2 linked regions of the Schizosaccharomyces pombe genome follow. Changing the gene in region 1 together with any one later gene gives a genetic interaction. Each region holds a gene or a part of one and is shown in the gene's direction. Other genes may lie near its edges.

The links.
Region 2: mutations in SPOM_SPAC23G3.05C (region 1) and nrm1 together harm fitness less than expected from each alone (positive genetic interaction), as found in Schizosaccharomyces pombe (one large-scale study listed by BioGRID).

What each region holds. Positions count from the first base shown.
Region 1 is NC_003424.3:873,660-883,254, reverse strand, and holds SPOM_SPAC23G3.05C (RGS domain-containing family protein), read left to right. Parts: upstream 1-7,565; 5' UTR 7,566-7,691; coding exon 7,692-8,723; 3' UTR 8,724-9,095; downstream 9,096-9,595. Other genes in the region: ubiquitin hydrolase Ubp7, read left to right, coding at 1-2,232; SWI/SNF complex subunit Snf30, read left to right, coding at 3,066-3,268, 3,420-4,041; U3 snoRNP protein Nop58, read right to left, coding at 4,673-6,080, 6,149-6,251, 6,293-6,308; Ino80 complex subunit Ies4, read right to left, coding at 9,504-9,595. UniProt on the Schizosaccharomyces pombe protein: May be involved in cell polarization and division.
Region 2 is NC_003423.3:4,282,057-4,289,083, forward strand, and holds nrm1 (protein nrm1), read left to right. Parts: upstream 1-3,887; 5' UTR 3,888-3,985; coding exon 3,986-5,014; 3' UTR 5,015-5,304; coding exon of another isoform or gene 5,305-6,172; 3' UTR 6,173-6,230; coding exon of another isoform or gene 6,231-6,320; 3' UTR 6,321-6,362; coding exon of another isoform or gene 6,363-6,377; 3' UTR 6,378-6,418; downstream 6,419-7,027. Other genes in the region: Hrd1 ubiquitin ligase complex subunit Ufd1, read left to right, coding at 98-100, 148-316, 497-529, 586-707, 756-1,457; oga1 (protein stm1), read left to right, coding at 1,882-1,899, 2,168-2,541, 2,604-3,066; tad1 (tRNA specific adenosine deaminase), read right to left, coding at 5,305-6,172, 6,231-6,320, 6,363-6,377, 6,419-6,612; nucleoporin Rae1, read left to right, coding at 6,889-6,960, 7,011-7,027. UniProt on the Schizosaccharomyces pombe protein: Negative regulatory component of the MBF complex involved in cell-cycle-dependent transcription.

The sequences.
Region 1 (9,595 bases):
ATTATAACCTTGAAATGTCACTGTTACAGTTGTGATGCAGATATAGTTATTTTTGATAAAAAGAATTTAGTTGTGCGGGACGTTCAACAATTTATTTGCTCTAACTTGGTTTCATCGTTAACTAAGGCCCCCAACGTTTTAAAATCCAATTCGTCACACTTTAAAAAGGAAAAAAAGAGTAAGCATTCTTCTGGCAAAAGCTCGAAGAAATATAAAGTTATCAGTCCTGGTTTAAAAAATTTGGGTGCCACATGCTTTTTTAATTCGACTTTACAAGTCCTATGTGCTTGTGAGGCTTTACACGATGTGATTAGCCCGTTCCAATATTCCCACTCCTCAGTTATAGTGCGAAAGTTAACGAAATCTCCTGAATCTTCTCTTTTATCTGCATTCATTAAATTTTTGGAGACCTTTTATAAATCAGATGGCACTATCTCCGTATATCGTCCTACCACTTTTTTCGGAGAATTTCGAAGACTACATCCCCAGTTTTCCGAAAGCGTCCAGCAGGATGCTCACGAGCTTTTAAGGCTGTTATTGGACGATCTCATTTCTGAAGAATTTCGTGTACTGAGATTTAACCTTAATAGTGTATCACGTTCTCTTCAACTTAGTCCATGTTTGACAGATGATGAACAGCTTTCTAAATCGTTAACTTCGTTTAAACAAGTGAATGTTACAGATGCTTCTTTGTCGCCAAATTCACACAATACAAGTGATAACGAGCAGAACAACGAAGATTATGTTAGCGTTTCTTCATTAGTGGGTTCTGAGACCGAAGATATTACTTATTCGAAGGAGTTGTCGCAATCATCTGACTCTTCACAGCATCAGCATGACAGTTTCTTGCCTGCTAATTCATCGCCATTAGCGGCCTCGTCTACAAAATCCCTTCCATCGTCAGAACTTCTCGATTCCAGTTCAGACAAGGGACAACAAGTTTTTAAGGGTCAACATGAGGTCGCTGGTACCAATTCTTTTGAAGATCCTAATTCTCATTTCAATGTATCTAATAGTTCTAATCATGAGGAGGCTAGTCCTAAAAAAGAAGTTTTAAAATCTCCTCAATTTCAAAGGCGTTCACTAGACATACTACGGCTTGGTGAACTTTCTTCAGATGATATGATGCTTGATAAAGCTACTATGGATGAATTTTCTTCAAGCCTGGTGATCAAGTCAATTTTTACAGGCCGTTTAACGAGCGTTGTGATGTGCCAAAGTTGTAATGAAATTACTAACACTCCTGAACCTATTCAAGATTTATCCATACCTATTCATTACCCGTCTAGCCGCGTAAGTCGTCGTCATCGATTCCATCGTGCTCTCCGTTCACGATTTAGTCGTTCACCAAAAAAATCGTCTGTAAAGATAGTTGTTGACAATGCTAACGACGACACTGATCAAGCCCCGACTACTAATTCCTCTTCGTTAAATGAAAATTTACTTGGTGGGCATGCTAGTGAAAATGACAAGAGTTTGAAACAGTCTCCATTTCAAAAACTGACTCGAAGATTAAGTGATCTCTCTGTCAATTCTAGCGGGCAAATTTCGAAACAAGATTTTGATAATAGTAATTCAATTTTCTCAGAATCTTCACTATCAAGCCCAATAATAGAGGAGCCTAAGACACTTATTGATTGTCTCAAAAACTTTACTCATGTTGAGGAGTTAAGTGGTGAAAACATGTTTGCCTGCGAGAATTGCTGTAATCAACCTAACGAAGTTGGCTCTCCAGCTAAGGGAGGATTGACGTCGGATAACGATAAATATTCGTTTAATAACAGTGTTTATAGAAATGCTTACAAGCGGATGTTATTAGATGACCCTTTACCTCCTGTTTTTATTATCCATTTGAAGCGTTTTTTCCAGGAGATTTCCCACGATGGTTACGCCAATCCCAAAAAAATTTCCGATTTCATTGAGTTTGAACAAGAATTAGATTTAAACGAGTTCGTTATGCCACACCTACGTGCTTCAAGTAGTTTTAGATATCGACTTTTCGGGGTCATTGTGCACAGTGGCACCCTGAATTATGGTCATTATGTTGCTTACGTATTGTCTCATAAATTCTTAGACCTCAGTGCCCCTTCTACGAATTCTAAGGATTTCCGTTCTGAAGCTGGCATACCCGAGAGACGATGGCTTTACATTAGTGACAATATTGTACGCGAATCATCCTGGGACGAGGTTTCAAAAGTCGAAGCGTATATGCTATTCTATGAACGTGTTTAGACTTCTATTGCTTTAAATCCTCATTTTAGCTTAACAATATTTTTCAATACCCCTGGTTTTTATCTTTAAAATGCAAAGTATTCATTTTGAAATTTACGATTGGCCCAAAATGACTTATTCAACTCAATCTATCTTCACCTTAATCGAATTTCAAAATTACTTTGTCATTTCACCTCATAACTAGATACTGAATTTTGGACGAAACCATAATTATTCAAACACATTCTTTTGATGTACCTCAATTAAAAAAATACCATTTTACTTAATTAAGCAAATGGGATAATTTATTTTACGTTATCAATAGTCTATATAATTGCAAATTTATAGAAAAATCTAAATTTACTTATTTTTTATACGCTAATAGTGTTGTTATTGAATTGTATAAATATTATCTCTGTTAATGAAGCGTGCAAATCAGCTTTAGTCTCTAAATAATTATTATTTATTTATTCTATTGCATATATTTGAAAAGTTATCAACAATCTTATTCAGTCGAATTTGAATGTTCCGTAAAATAAGAAATTTATTTGCCCGAGGTTAGAGGTGCTTAAACTATACACCTGACTTGTCATTATTGGAATATAGTCGCTATTGAATTGTTATAGTGTTGTTACATTCACGTTTATTACCATATAGCATTTAAAGGTTGTTTTATACTTTTTAACGACAGTATTCATCAGAGACTCTAAAATTCGCATTTGTAAAAAAATATATATATATATTACCATTACTCCTAGTTAATGGGTTTTAAACACAAGAAGTTACAACAAATTTTTTAAAAAAACTGGTTATTTAAGTTATATCTCCTTTTTAAGTTAACTACGTTTGTAATAATGAGCTTTGTTTCGAAAAGTCCACCGATAGTAAACTCCGCGAGCCCAACCGGACAGGTTAATCCAATGGAAGTTGAAAAGGCGAACAAATTATTAGAAATTAATCGTTTGATTTTATGGAAATGCTTAGAACTTCAGCATATTAAGACGGCGCAAAATTCGACATTGGAGCAACGGGCTTTATCTACTGAACTTTTCAACAGGTAAGTGATTGAAATGTTTTGCTTACGTGCACACTTAGCTGCGGAAGGATATTCATTGTGTGTATCCATTTTCGGCTCCTCAAATTGCGCTTCGCACTGTCTCTCTTTTATTACATTATATTTTTTTCGTTGTTACTAATTCATTTACTAGTTATATACAACGTCTCAAAGCTAATCTAGCTTTTGTAGTATCAATTGCTTCACCCCGTCAAATGCAAGTTTTAACTCCGCCACTTTCGTGTCCTGAAAGTCTACCTCAACTCGAGCCGTTATACAAAGAACTCCGGCAATATTTTCAAATCGCTCAGACATCTACACTATCGTATCCTCCTTCAAATGGGGATTCGTCTTCGTATGCAAATGGCACAGACTTACATGGAAATACAGGGACTATGCAGCAAGAAGAGAAAGCCAATCCATCATTAACTCGTTCAGATTCTGTTTCCTCGGGCTCTTATATTACAATGCAGGGAGCCAATAGTCTGAAGGCCCAACAAGACTTATTGAACTCGTTTACTGGTGCTCCTTCAAACAATTCTCATAACATACCCGATCCTAATCTATCTCAAACATTTTCAGCAACTTCTATGGGACCTCCCAACAATAACTACTCAAAGTTCCGAACGGATAACTACTTAGCGAGGTCCTCAAATCGCTCGGGAACGCCCAACATTCAAAATGAGCAATCTCGTTTTTTTGATTCACAACAAGCTCAAGTTCAGGCTCGAGCATTGATGCAAAGATATCAACAGGGGATGGAATTTAACAAATAGTGGTGTTTTTGAAGTTTATGATATAGAAAAGCTATGTCCTGTAATTTTATGTTTTAATTGATCATTTATCTAAACGTAAGACTTGCAATGTAGCGGACGCCTTACATGTAATTTTTATGCAACTAGTAAATTTTGACCACTAAGATCTAAATTTGTTTAGGAAATTAGGAATGGGTAGCACAACATTACTAAAATTTCAATTGCGAAAACCAAATCAATAAATTTATCTAAAACGACGATATGTTTACAATTTTACTATAGCACAAGCAAATGAATGCCATACAAAAATTTTTGGCGGAAATTACAACAGATGTGTAAAGCAATTTTAAAGTGGTGTCGCTTAATTACCTTTTGAATCTAAAACGCTATTGAAACTTGAATTTTTTGATGCCATAATTTAACTAAATTGACCAAGTTTAGAGATTAAAAAGCCAATAATGATAACTCTGAAAGTTTCCAGTATAATATAAAACAAAAATGGATAACGAGAACCTAAATAATCTTTGAACTTGAGTCGTTATCCTCTAAACAAGCTCAACCTTTTTTAAAAAAAGAAAGCATTATTGTATAACAATAAGTGAATTGATAATTCCTTTTTAAAACATTAATGGAATTTGCTCTAACGACCTACTCAATCCTTTGACTTTTTGGACTTTTTCTTCTTCTTTGGAGATTCTCCATCTTCGGATTCCTCAGATTTTCTCTTACTCTTCTTGTGCTTCTTATCCTTCTTTTCTTTCTTCTCCTTCTTGCTTGATTCTCCGTCTGCTTCTTTGAGCTTTGAAGATTTCTTTTTCTTCTTCTCGATTACAATGTCCATCTCTACATCCTCTTGAGATTCTTCAGCATCTTTTGTAACAGCATCGGTAGCCGTACTGTAAGCAGAGGTACCATTAATTTGAACTTTAGATTGTTGGACAGGAGCTGTAGGCAATGGTAATAATTTTCCACCCTCCAAAGAACGTAAACGGTTTTCAACACGAATCCGATTTTCCAAACCAATATTACCATTAGTAGTATCCTTGTCTGATAATGCATCAACACGTAAAGATAAAGCAGCTTTCGTAGCCAACACTCGAGCAATTTTACCCTTATTTTTAGAATTCGCTTGACCAACCAAACTTGCATGATAAATAAGACCATATTTAGGTGTACTATGCTTTGTCTTCAAAGCACGGAATAAAGCCTTCTCAGCTCCCAAAATTTGTATTGTAGAAGCCGGTTGCTTGGCCAAATTCATCAGAGAACCAGCATGAGCAATAAGACGAGCACCAACCAACTCACCTACCAGAGCAGTCAAGTTGGGGGCAATAGCCTGCATACGGTTCCGAAGATATTCAGATAATTGGGCACGATAAGAAGCAAGCTCAAGGACTTGATCTGCAAGCATAACAATGTTGTCTAAATCTTCTTCCGTAATCTCTGTACCCATAGAAATTTCAGCAGCACTCTTTAAAGTTGCCTCAATTTCTTCCGGAAGAATATCACTAAAATCGGTCTCACTACATTTGGTACGCATACCCATGGCTTTAATAACACGAGCATAAGCTAGGTTATCTTGAATAATCTTGCCCATCTCAGGGAAATGCCAACCATACCACTCACGAACACGCATAGCATAGGTATTGAGTTCCTTATCGAGATCGTCGAGTAATGCAATAGCTTGAACAATCATCGTATCAACTTTATCCGGAGAAAACTTAAGTTTATGACGAGATAGAGAATGAGATAAACCCAAAGACATAGCATTGAGATCAGAAGGAGCCAATCCGGAAATGAGAGAAGACAAATGCTCTCTTATACCGCGGTACAAGTCTTGAACGGAAGAGTCAGAAATTATTTCAAATTCCAACCCTGGTAATTTGTTGATAGCATTGCCGAGTTTAGGGTCAGCCACAACCAGCGTGGAGCTCTTTGAGTCAGATAACCCTTCTAGGAGAGAGGATAATTTGGAAGAAACCTTGCCCTCAACAAGAGCAGAAACATTGTCGAGAGCATCGACAGTACTTTCAAACTTGGCGAATGATTGTAGTTTTAAGCTAAATTCAGTGTTAGCAAGTTAATTCTCATCATACATTTAATCAATTGTTGCATGCAACAAACATACAGATTTGAAGCTCCCTCAGGAGATTTTAAATCCTCAATAAGGGCATCACGTTTCTTCAACAACTTATCCTTTGCTTTAAAAATGGCATAACCCGCCGCAGTCTCTATTATGTTGTTAGATATATAAAAAAAATTCCTCACATACCAGTAAGAATAAACATCTCTGCGACTTTTTACAAACCAAAACGGATTGGAAGTTTTGGTGAAGTTGGAGAAGCGCAGAAATTTTAAATGACTGAAACACAGCATACTCCAAACTTACACTCGCTATTATAATTACCGTAGCTGTCCTTTAATGATGTGTGCTGCGTTGTCCTTAAGTTTACTAACGATATTTTCAAATCAACGAAGTTTACTCAAGGTCGTTATATGACCTTTACATCGTACAAGCTCCGTTAATTGTGTTAATAAGGGAAATAAAACTAATGAAACTTTAAGGGCGTAACACTAAGTATAGCTAGCAAACGAGCTGTAAGCTATAGAAAGCTGAGGTCTACTCGAGTTAAATATTTAATAGAAAACTGGACTAGTAATATTATTTCGAATTTACGGTTATTGATTATCACGATCAAGTGGAAGGTAAAAAACGAAATACAACGTAGCGTATGTAACAGAAATAATTTACTATTATTGTTAGTTTCCATTACACTACTTTATTTCAACAAAAAAGTAAACATGAATTCAAATCGCTTCAATTAAATAATACAAAAATGGGTTGGTTCTGATTTGACAACAAAAGTATGAAAAGCGCTTGTTAATTTTCATAGATAAAAAAATTACCTGAAAATGAAAAAATTAAGCCAACAATAATTGGAATTGATGCCATGAATATAAGAATTAAAGTAAACAATCTAAATCTAAACCCACTTTATTGTTCAATATCAATCAGTAACCTTTGAAAACAATAAATAATACACAGCCATGAGGAAATATGTTTGATTTTTTACGTCCATTTTAACAGAAATACATAAGTTTAATATACCATCAAAAATAATATGAAAATCCCATTGCTTTAATGAATAGTTCATTAAATTATTTCAGAACCTTTTTTCCTAATCAGAAGATTTTATTTGATTTTCATTCTACAAAGTTTCGAAATTTACATATTAACTTTACATTAGTTATCGCTGAGTGTATTGGCTTTTGGAACACAATCAATCCTGCTTAGTATTCTTTATCTAATTAAATGCAAATATGGTGACATTTGAACTGAGGCTCAATGCTTGTCAAAAAAAATATTTGTAGAAAAGGTGTATCTGTTTATCGAGGATAAGGTATCAAGTAAAGCTTACTAGTTTATCTATAATTCTATAAAATTTATTATTAATTTTTTACAGTAATATGGTATGCTCTATTGCATTCCACAAATCACCTTTATTTAGTAAAGTGTAGAATGTTAATTTAGTAACTTCAGATGTTACCACCACTTTGTGTCATCTGACATTTGAAACTAAAGCGGAACCAATCCGCTGTATTTTTTTTGATACACATTAAAATCGGATTAATTTAGGAACTCTAGTACTTGTCTTGAGGTGGTTGTCTGAATGGCTTCCGCCCCGAGAGTTTCAGAAGTTTTAACCAAAAAAAATCTTCCACCGTTGAGTTTATACAACTTTTACATTTATATACGTGATGAAGAAAATGCAATAGAATTTTTAGATTTGTTTCTTGATATTATGCTTCACAAATTTCTCTTTCGAGAGCATATAAGAGGTCTATACAAAGCTGGTGTTACTAGCACTTCTTTGAATACAGAAAGCAGTTCCACACTTGGTCCTCACCACTTTACGCGGTTTAGGTCAGCAAGCCTTTCTCTTGAAGATTTGAGTACAGTGTACTGGCCAAATTTTGGTCCTCTTCTTCTTGAAGAATTATCCAATGAACAAACTATCAACTCCTCAGACTTACTACTCTCTAAAGATAGAGCTGCTTATTTAAAAAACCTTTTGACATCAAATATTCAAAGTTTAACGCAGGAATCAACGGTTATCAGTAAAGAGCAAGTTAAAATGTTTACTCAAATTATTATCGAAAAATATTTCAATCCAGCATCTCCACATGAAGTTATGCTACCACCACAGCTCGTTCAACCTATTTTAGATTGCAAGGAACATCAAAGACAAGACGAGTTGCGTCTGTTTGAAGACGTCGAAACTTATCTTCTCAATTTCCTTCTCAAACCCGCCTACTATCGCTTTCTCAACCACAAATTTAAGCACAACCTCAATCCTTTAACTTGCACAGGGAGATTTATTATTGGTTATGTGTCTACCTTTGCTGCCTACTGGCTAGGTTTTTGCGGTATTTTCCTAGACTACTCAAGGAGAAAGCGGGTATGGACACTTCTTCCATTTGCTTTTGGTTTTTATAACCTTATATGTACGTGGTCTAAACATGATCCTGTTCTTGCCTTATTGGGATACTCAGAAGTTAAACCGTTTCATTATGAGAAAGTTTTGCAACCCTCCATTCGCTTAAGTTTAAACAGACGTGCAATATTCGTGCTTTCGATAATTGTTTTAATAGTGGGTGCAAACACAGCAATATTTAGCTGTGTTCCTTCTATTCGTCTATAACCTGTCGATTTCGTTCCATTCCACTCCTTTTTGCATTTTTTTTATCATTCTTTTGTTTTTTTGAAGTTGTGGATCCTCTTTTTGTTTAGTCATTTCTTTTAAAAATCAAATTATTCAATATTTAATTTGCATGTTGCATTTCCGATATTCTTCTTTTTACGATTCAATCTTTCGGTCCTATCTTTTAAAATATAAAAGGCACTCAAAATTATCTGATTTCCTATCGATTCAATCATTCTATACTGTTTTGAATTTTACAAAGCTAATTCCTAGTTACAATAAATTAGACATTAACGTTGTTACATTTTTTTTCTATTTATTTAATCAAACTTAAATAGTTCAACCTGTTCTCACAACCATTTCTCTTGTTGTAGCATTGTTAAACTGTTTTTAATATAATTGCTCTAATATAAGATCAACCATAGGTAAAAGAAAAAAAATAAGGATTGAATAGTTAAACAGCACTGATTCACCATTGTTTCTTTCAATAAAACACTTATTTGCATATACTGAAGTTACGGTTTGTAAAGAGGATTGCCAATAGAAGGATTTAAATTTTAGAAGCTGAAGTAGATCTATAAGGGGAAAGAAAACCGCATTAATAGCAAGTCTTATCCAAGGAAAGTATTAAACTCGAGATAAAGGAAATAAAGGAGAATAAATTAGGGTACTGCTCTGTTTGTACATACAAGCTCCGTATTAATGTTCTCTAAATGTTCGGTCCAGCCGGAGAAACGTGAGCCTTGATTTCTTATATAATAACGTAAAGGTACAAAGAATTTAAATACCAGTTGCAGATTCAGGCATTGAGTCAACAGGTGAAGTAGCATCCATAGGACTAGACTCTGCATGTGTTGACAGTGCAGCAGCAA
Region 2 (7,027 bases), on another chromosome or scaffold:
TCAAGTGTATTTTGCTTGCACTACAACATTTACGTTGCATTATAAAAAATTGGGAGAACCATAGTTACTCTTTCCTTTTTTCGCAAAAAAAGCAAATATGGTATGGTTTTTTTAGAGAATGCGTACGTTGACTTACTCACGTATTAGTTTGGCGGCAGCTTTTTCTCAAGCGACGATGATGGTTTCTCCATGATGTCTCAACTTCGGTCAGCTTTTCATAATAATGTAAATCAGCGATTTGATACTCGTTACCGCTGTTATCCTGTTGCCATGATTCCTGGTGAGGAACGGCCAAATGTCAATTATGGTGGGAAAGGTAAGGTTTGAAAATACTTTTAAGTTTTCACATTGTTGGAGATTTGATTTTATATACTCATGAAGTTCATGTGATTTTATCTTTGAGCGCTTGCTTGCGCATTTGCTTATGGTTAACATTCTCTGCTCAATATTTTTTATATTGTTATTGGGGATTATTAGTATTAACAACTACGTCTAGTAATATTACCACCTTCAGCTTTAGAAAAACTATGTACGTAATGCGAAGAGAATTTATTAAGCCTTTTAAATCTGTTAATTAACTATTAGCACGCCTGAATGTCAGTTATCCCATGCTTTTTGACTTTGAAAACGAAGCTGCAGAGAAAAAAACTCATGGGGGTGTGTTAGAATTTATTGCGGAAGAGGGACGTGTCTACCTGCCTTATTGGGTATGAAAAAATTTAAAGACTGTCAGAAATGTACTAACTAGGGCACAGATGATGACTACACTTAGCCTTGAGCCTGGAGATTTGGTTCGAGTTATAAATACTGATATAGCACAGGGCAGCTATGTCAAATTACAGCCTCAAAGCGTGAATTTTCTTGATATCACGGACCACAGAGCGGTATTGGAAAATGCGCTTAGGAATTTCAGTACGCTTACAAAATCTGATATATTTGAGATTTTGTATAACGACCAGGTATATCAAATAAAAGTTATAGATGTTCAACCTGATGACTCCCGCCATGTTGTCTCAGTGGTAGAAACCGATTTGGTAGTTGATTTTGATCCCCCCATCGGTTATGAAGAAAGTTTGCAAAAAAACAAGCAGCAAAATATTGCTGGCGTTCAAGGAACGATGGTTACCAAGATTGGTTACGATGAGCTGGTGAGGCAGGGCGATTCGAATTTGATGAAGGGAACAGGGACTAAACTAAATGGTAAAGAAGTTGCTGAAGTGCCTAAAATAAATTTGCTCGATGTTGAGAAACAAGAATGTCCTGCTCCGTTGATCCTACCATTGGGTACATACTTCTTTGGGTATCCTTATAAAGCACCCTCTATTGAAGAAGATTCTAAGAAAGACCCCAATTTATTTAAGTTTGAAGGTGCCGGTACATCTCTACGTGCCTCTCGCAAAACAAATGGAACAATGGGAAAAGGTTCCTCTGATGACCCAATCGATATTGATGCTTAATGTTAATCGTCTCAAGTTATTACTTGGTTGGATTTAGTTTATAACGATTTTAGTACCAGTCTTTTTACATTGAATGAATTAATTTATTATTTGTTTCAAAATATAATGTAATTAATTCTTACTTAGACTGCCTAGCTTTTTTTTACCAGTAGTATATTTCTTAATAAAACTTATTTTAATGCTAAAGAAATGAATGATTCGATAAAACGAATATTGACAATTGTAAGCCAAGTGCTTCCGATATCATAGAAAAAAGACAGGCATTGTGTTGAATAACTGTAATTTTAAGATAGCCTTAGGTATTACCGTAAGATGATGGACAAAGCACATCATTTGTTTCAACCTACCCTAAGTTTGAGTGACTGCTTTTTGGATGACTGTAGTTGTGTAACTGAACACACACAATTAACTTTCCAGCTTCCAAATGTCTGTTGCATCCAAGGTATGATTTAAACATTTTATCATTAAACGATTATTTTAAGGGTTAGGAAATGAACGAACTGGTAATTATTTGTAGCATGTTTTAGGGCTGTGTTTAAGGTTTCATTACTGCGACCCGAATGAAATACTTTATAGAAGTATAGCCTGTATAAAGACGCTCAAGTATTAAAAAATATAAATTCACATTTCGTTCATTATTCTTTAGAGTGTTAGCTCTGCAGACTCTGCTGATTTTTATTTTGTTTTCGCAAGTAGTAACCAAATTATAGAACCTCTTTGACCTCCTCGGAGAGGAGACTCCCGCAGCTACTACTACCGAGAAGAAAACCGCTGCTTCTCGTGACAAAAAGCGCTCCGACAGCCCTCCTGTCCCCCGCGAATTAGTCGCTCAAAGCACCACCTCTAGGAAGCGTGACCCTAACCAACCCACTCCTCGTGAGCGTACCGTTAATAAGAAGGCAGACCAACCTCGCAGACGCCGTCAAGCTCCTCAAGGAAACGAAGCCTTTGCTCGTGAAGGCAAAGAAGCTCGTGCTAACAACGCTGCCCATCCTGTGGATGCCACTGGCGCCCCCTCCAACCGCCGCAATGCTCGTGCTCGCCGTGGTCGTGAATTTGACCGCCATAGCCAAACTGGTAGAGTGTATGTGTTTTATTTTTCTACATGTGAATGCCAAATTATATAATTGCTAACCATTATTTTAGTGATACCAAGAAGGCTACTGAACGTGGCTGGGGTGATCTCGTAAACTCTGCTGCTAACCCTGATGTTGCAGAGAACGAAGGTAACACTCCCTCTGGAGCCCAAACTCCTGCTGCCGAGGAGGAAAATGTTAAGACTCTTGATGAATATCTGTCTGAACGCAAGTCCGCCGCAAAGCCTGTTGGTCGTACTGTTGAGAAACTTGAAAACGCTACTAAGGTCGAGAAGAGTGCCCCCGAAGAATTGTTTGCCTCTCTTAAGAAGAGCGCTTCTCAAAAGAAGTCTGCTGCCAAGGAAAGCAAGCCAAAGAAGGTTCTTCTTGATATCGAGCAAACTTTTACTGCTCGTCCTGCTCGCGGTGGCCGTCCTAACCGTGCTCCCCGTCGTGGTCCTTCAGAAACTGCCTCAAAAACCCAACAGGCACCTCCCACCCTTTCTGAGACTGACTTTCCCGCTCTTGCATAGATGAACTGGTGACTTGAGAGTAGCCTATTGATGTGGAGCGTTTGATTGGTCTTGGATGAAATTTCGTTGTCAAGCGTATGTGGAAAGGTGTGTGTTATCTTACAGATCCCTTTTTGTTTATTTTCCATTGAGCATCATTCGGGTTTCTAGGTTATTCAGTGATTCTTATCATTAAAGCGGTCTAAGGTGTATTCTGTGGTTGCATTCCCTTTTTTGATCCACATTTTGCGATGAATTGACTAAATATTTTTCAAAATGGTCGAATACTAGTGTGTAAAAAAAATTTCATTCTCGTATCTATTCACAACTAATATTAAGAAGATGCGCGTTTAAATCGTCTACCGACTGTTATCTTGATATAACGTATCTTATTTTTAATCTGTAAATATCAGCCTTAGTAATTGTGTACATAACAAAAGCATATTTCAGTGTACGGTAGGTCTGCCTGTGCAATTCACAAATACTCCATTTATTATTCCAATTGATTTTGTCATTTTCAAATGTCGTTTGCAGGGATATTGAAACGGACGTTGAATAAAGCCTTCTTAACCTTGTAAAATGACTATAGGAAAGTTATGAACGAGTTTGTGTATCGGTAACATAACAGGTAAATCACTCTTCATAATGCAAATTGCGGTTTACTTTTTATAGCATCATTTTTGATAGCTATTTAAAAAATTTGAAAGTTAATATAATTAATAAACTCGAGGATATGAGCAAACTGATAAAACGCGCTATATCGCGAATTCGCGCTTTAAAGGGCGTCGCGTCGCGTTGCGTTGGACACCGCTTATATACGTGCCACAAGTACGCAACAATCGACGAGTCGCAAAAAAACTGTCTCTGATTATTACTTTTCCTTCTGATTCTCTGCTACTAGGAATCTTTATATTGGTTTCCGTTTAGAAAAAATAACAAGATGGATAGGTCAATGGAACCATTGACCCCATCTCGTTTAAACACTTTGGGGGAAAGGCCAACAAACGAAGTGTATGAGTATGGAAAAGGAAAAAATGTGCAACATTTATTTCCTATAACACCGATGCAGAGACCATTAGGAAAAGAGAATGCGGCTCCAGGGACGATTTCACCGATTGCGGTTCGATCTCGAAATGTGCGTGCAGTAGAAATTGCAGATGAAAATGCATGTGAAGAGCCAGTCTTAAAAATAAAATCTGTTAGTAGTACGGAGAGTGAAGAGGAAAAAGAATCTTCTACTGAGATAGGAGAGAAACAGGAAAAAGAAACACATTTAGAACCCAAGACACCAGTACAAACCAATACCAACAATAATCACTTAGACGACATTCAGTGTTGTGCTAAAAACTTACGCTTACGTCTTGAATTGGCTATGTATAAAGTACAAGTTAATCAAACATTTTCCCCTCTGCAAGATCTTCCCATTGTCGCTAAAACGAAGCTTCACAATTGTCCAAACTCTGAACCTGTTACCTCCATATGGAACCAGAGATCGCTTTCTTCTGGAAAGCCTCCGTCCTTACATCTTTCAGGGAATCGCAGGCTTTCCATGGGATCTCCCACGAAGTCGATATATGATCAGAATGGTTTGACAACGCCAAGACCGATCGGTTCTGATGATCTAACACATATGTATGATCCTTATACCTCTCCTTTACGCACCCCTTCTCGTACGCTATCACGCTCCTCCTCTCATTATCTGTGGGTTCGTCATGGTAAATTGACACGTAGCGTATCTCTTTTACAACATAAAACGCCTAGACGCATTCGGCCAAAATCACTTTCTAAAAGCAATTCTACACCGTTAAAGCATTTAAGCGCTCAGAAACCAAATTCAAATTACTATACTGGCCCGCCTACTCCAGTATCCATATCCAACACTCCAGAAAACATTCATCCATCATCTTCCGAAGTAAGGCGTATTGCAAGTCACAGCAAGCAATTTTCAGACTATGGTTTAATTCGATGATCCTTCTTTTTACATTTTAAACCGAGTTATGGAATAATGTTATGAGATGATTTTTATAATACTTTAATTACTCTAGTTGTCGTTCATTTCCTTTCTGACAGATTTCTATATGTGAATTATTTTGAAATGCAAAAAATAACTTTTAATTCCTCGCAACACGTTCTTTTATTTCTTACTTGTTATGTAACAAGTCAGTCGTTAATAAAATTATTATCGCTGGTAAAGCCATCCTTCGTTTTATTTAATGCCTTAATTCATACGTACATCTTATATTGAGGTTTCTAGATTTCTTATATCCATTGAAATTCGTTCCCTCCGTTTGGGATCCAGTTTTTTAAGATATTACGAAGAATTTGCTTTTGCTGGCAACGTTTGATGTTGAGTTTCTTCCATTCATAATAGTTTTTTTCATTAGTCAACGATTGACTTAATTGATGCAGCAAATTCATCATACTCTTTCTACATATTAATGTTTGAGACTTTTCAACGTCTTTAGCTTTTGTTCCCGCTTTAATACCATTATGTATCACTTGAGTACACTGCATTTTATCACCGATCCATATCAAAACGTTTGTACTAGTTGCAGTTTTTTCTGCTTGGTTCAACGGCCGTGAATATAAAAAATTTTCATCCGTTTCCAGCACGGTAAAAGGATGAAAGTAATAAGGATTATCCTTTTCTCCAAATTCAGCAAGTGGTGCGCACCGACCAAAGGGTCCAAATGCTCTGTCAATTGCTGATTTAACTATCACTTTTTTATAAAGCACTACACATGATAAATAGATGGGCTCACAAATGAGGCTGGTCTGGGAATTCAAAATAGAAAGATATTGTTTTGCAGCTAATTTATCAGTACAGCTTTTGCTCCAGCTTACTGGGGCATCAGGTCTCCCCGGTTTAGTACGCACGATTCCAAGTAGTCCAAAATCCGCCCTCCCACGCATTAATTTCTCTGAATCAACTGTTAAGTTCCATGGTTTGTTGTTTTCCAAGCGGCTAGCTAGTAGCTCCATACTCGCATCTCCGCAAGGACATTCGGAAACGTACAGATGTATCAGAAGATTGCTGTTTAGAGTAAATTTACCATTATCAGCAACTTCAAGAAGCCACGTATCTTTCTTTGATTCTTTAATTAAAATACAATGTTCGAGAAGTAATCTTAATTCTTTTATTAGTAACGAATACTAACAAATATACAAATAATTGTATATATTACCTGTTAAAACATCTTAATGCCAGAATCTCAGCATGACAATCATGTAATACACTACCCAGTTGTTCATTCTTAATGATGCCAGCTGGCGTACTAAATTGACTTGTTAATGAAAAAAATCAATTGGTAGCATACCATTTTACACCTGTTCTTTAGATGTCAGTTTACCGATATTAATAAAAAAGACGTACGCTAGACAAACACAAATAAATTCGTTCTCCATCTTTTTCTGAATGACAACACCGGCTAAAGTAGTCCATTCACGCACCCCATTTGCTCTTATGATCGGTTTGCCATGACGGGCTAGTTCATCAAATTTGTTAAGGACTGCAAGAGCTATTAAATTCCCAACATTACTGTTTCTATCTAGGGTAAATTCTTCCATTTTCTAATGAATTTCATAAATCCATACTTTATATTCAATTGTATTAAGAAAAGAGTACTTCGGGAGCGTAAATCCTGTGATATGTTGTGACCGTAATTAAATACTAATATTTTGTTTCCAACTGTTAATTAATAACAATTGGGTATTCCTAATAGCAAAGCTTATTCGCTGTAAGTGATTGAAGTACAAATGTTGGCAAAAGCATTTGTGGTAGTGTGTTGAAGCAAGTAATTTTGTCTGCATACGAGTAATTTACCAACTACCACAACTATTAGAATGTCACTTTTTGGACAGGCTACAACATCTACAGTATCTAATGCAACCGGTGACTTAAAAAAGGATGTGGAGGTTTGTTAATTTTACATATACGCTACTTACATTTGCTAATTACACGATAGGTTGCCCAACCCCCGGA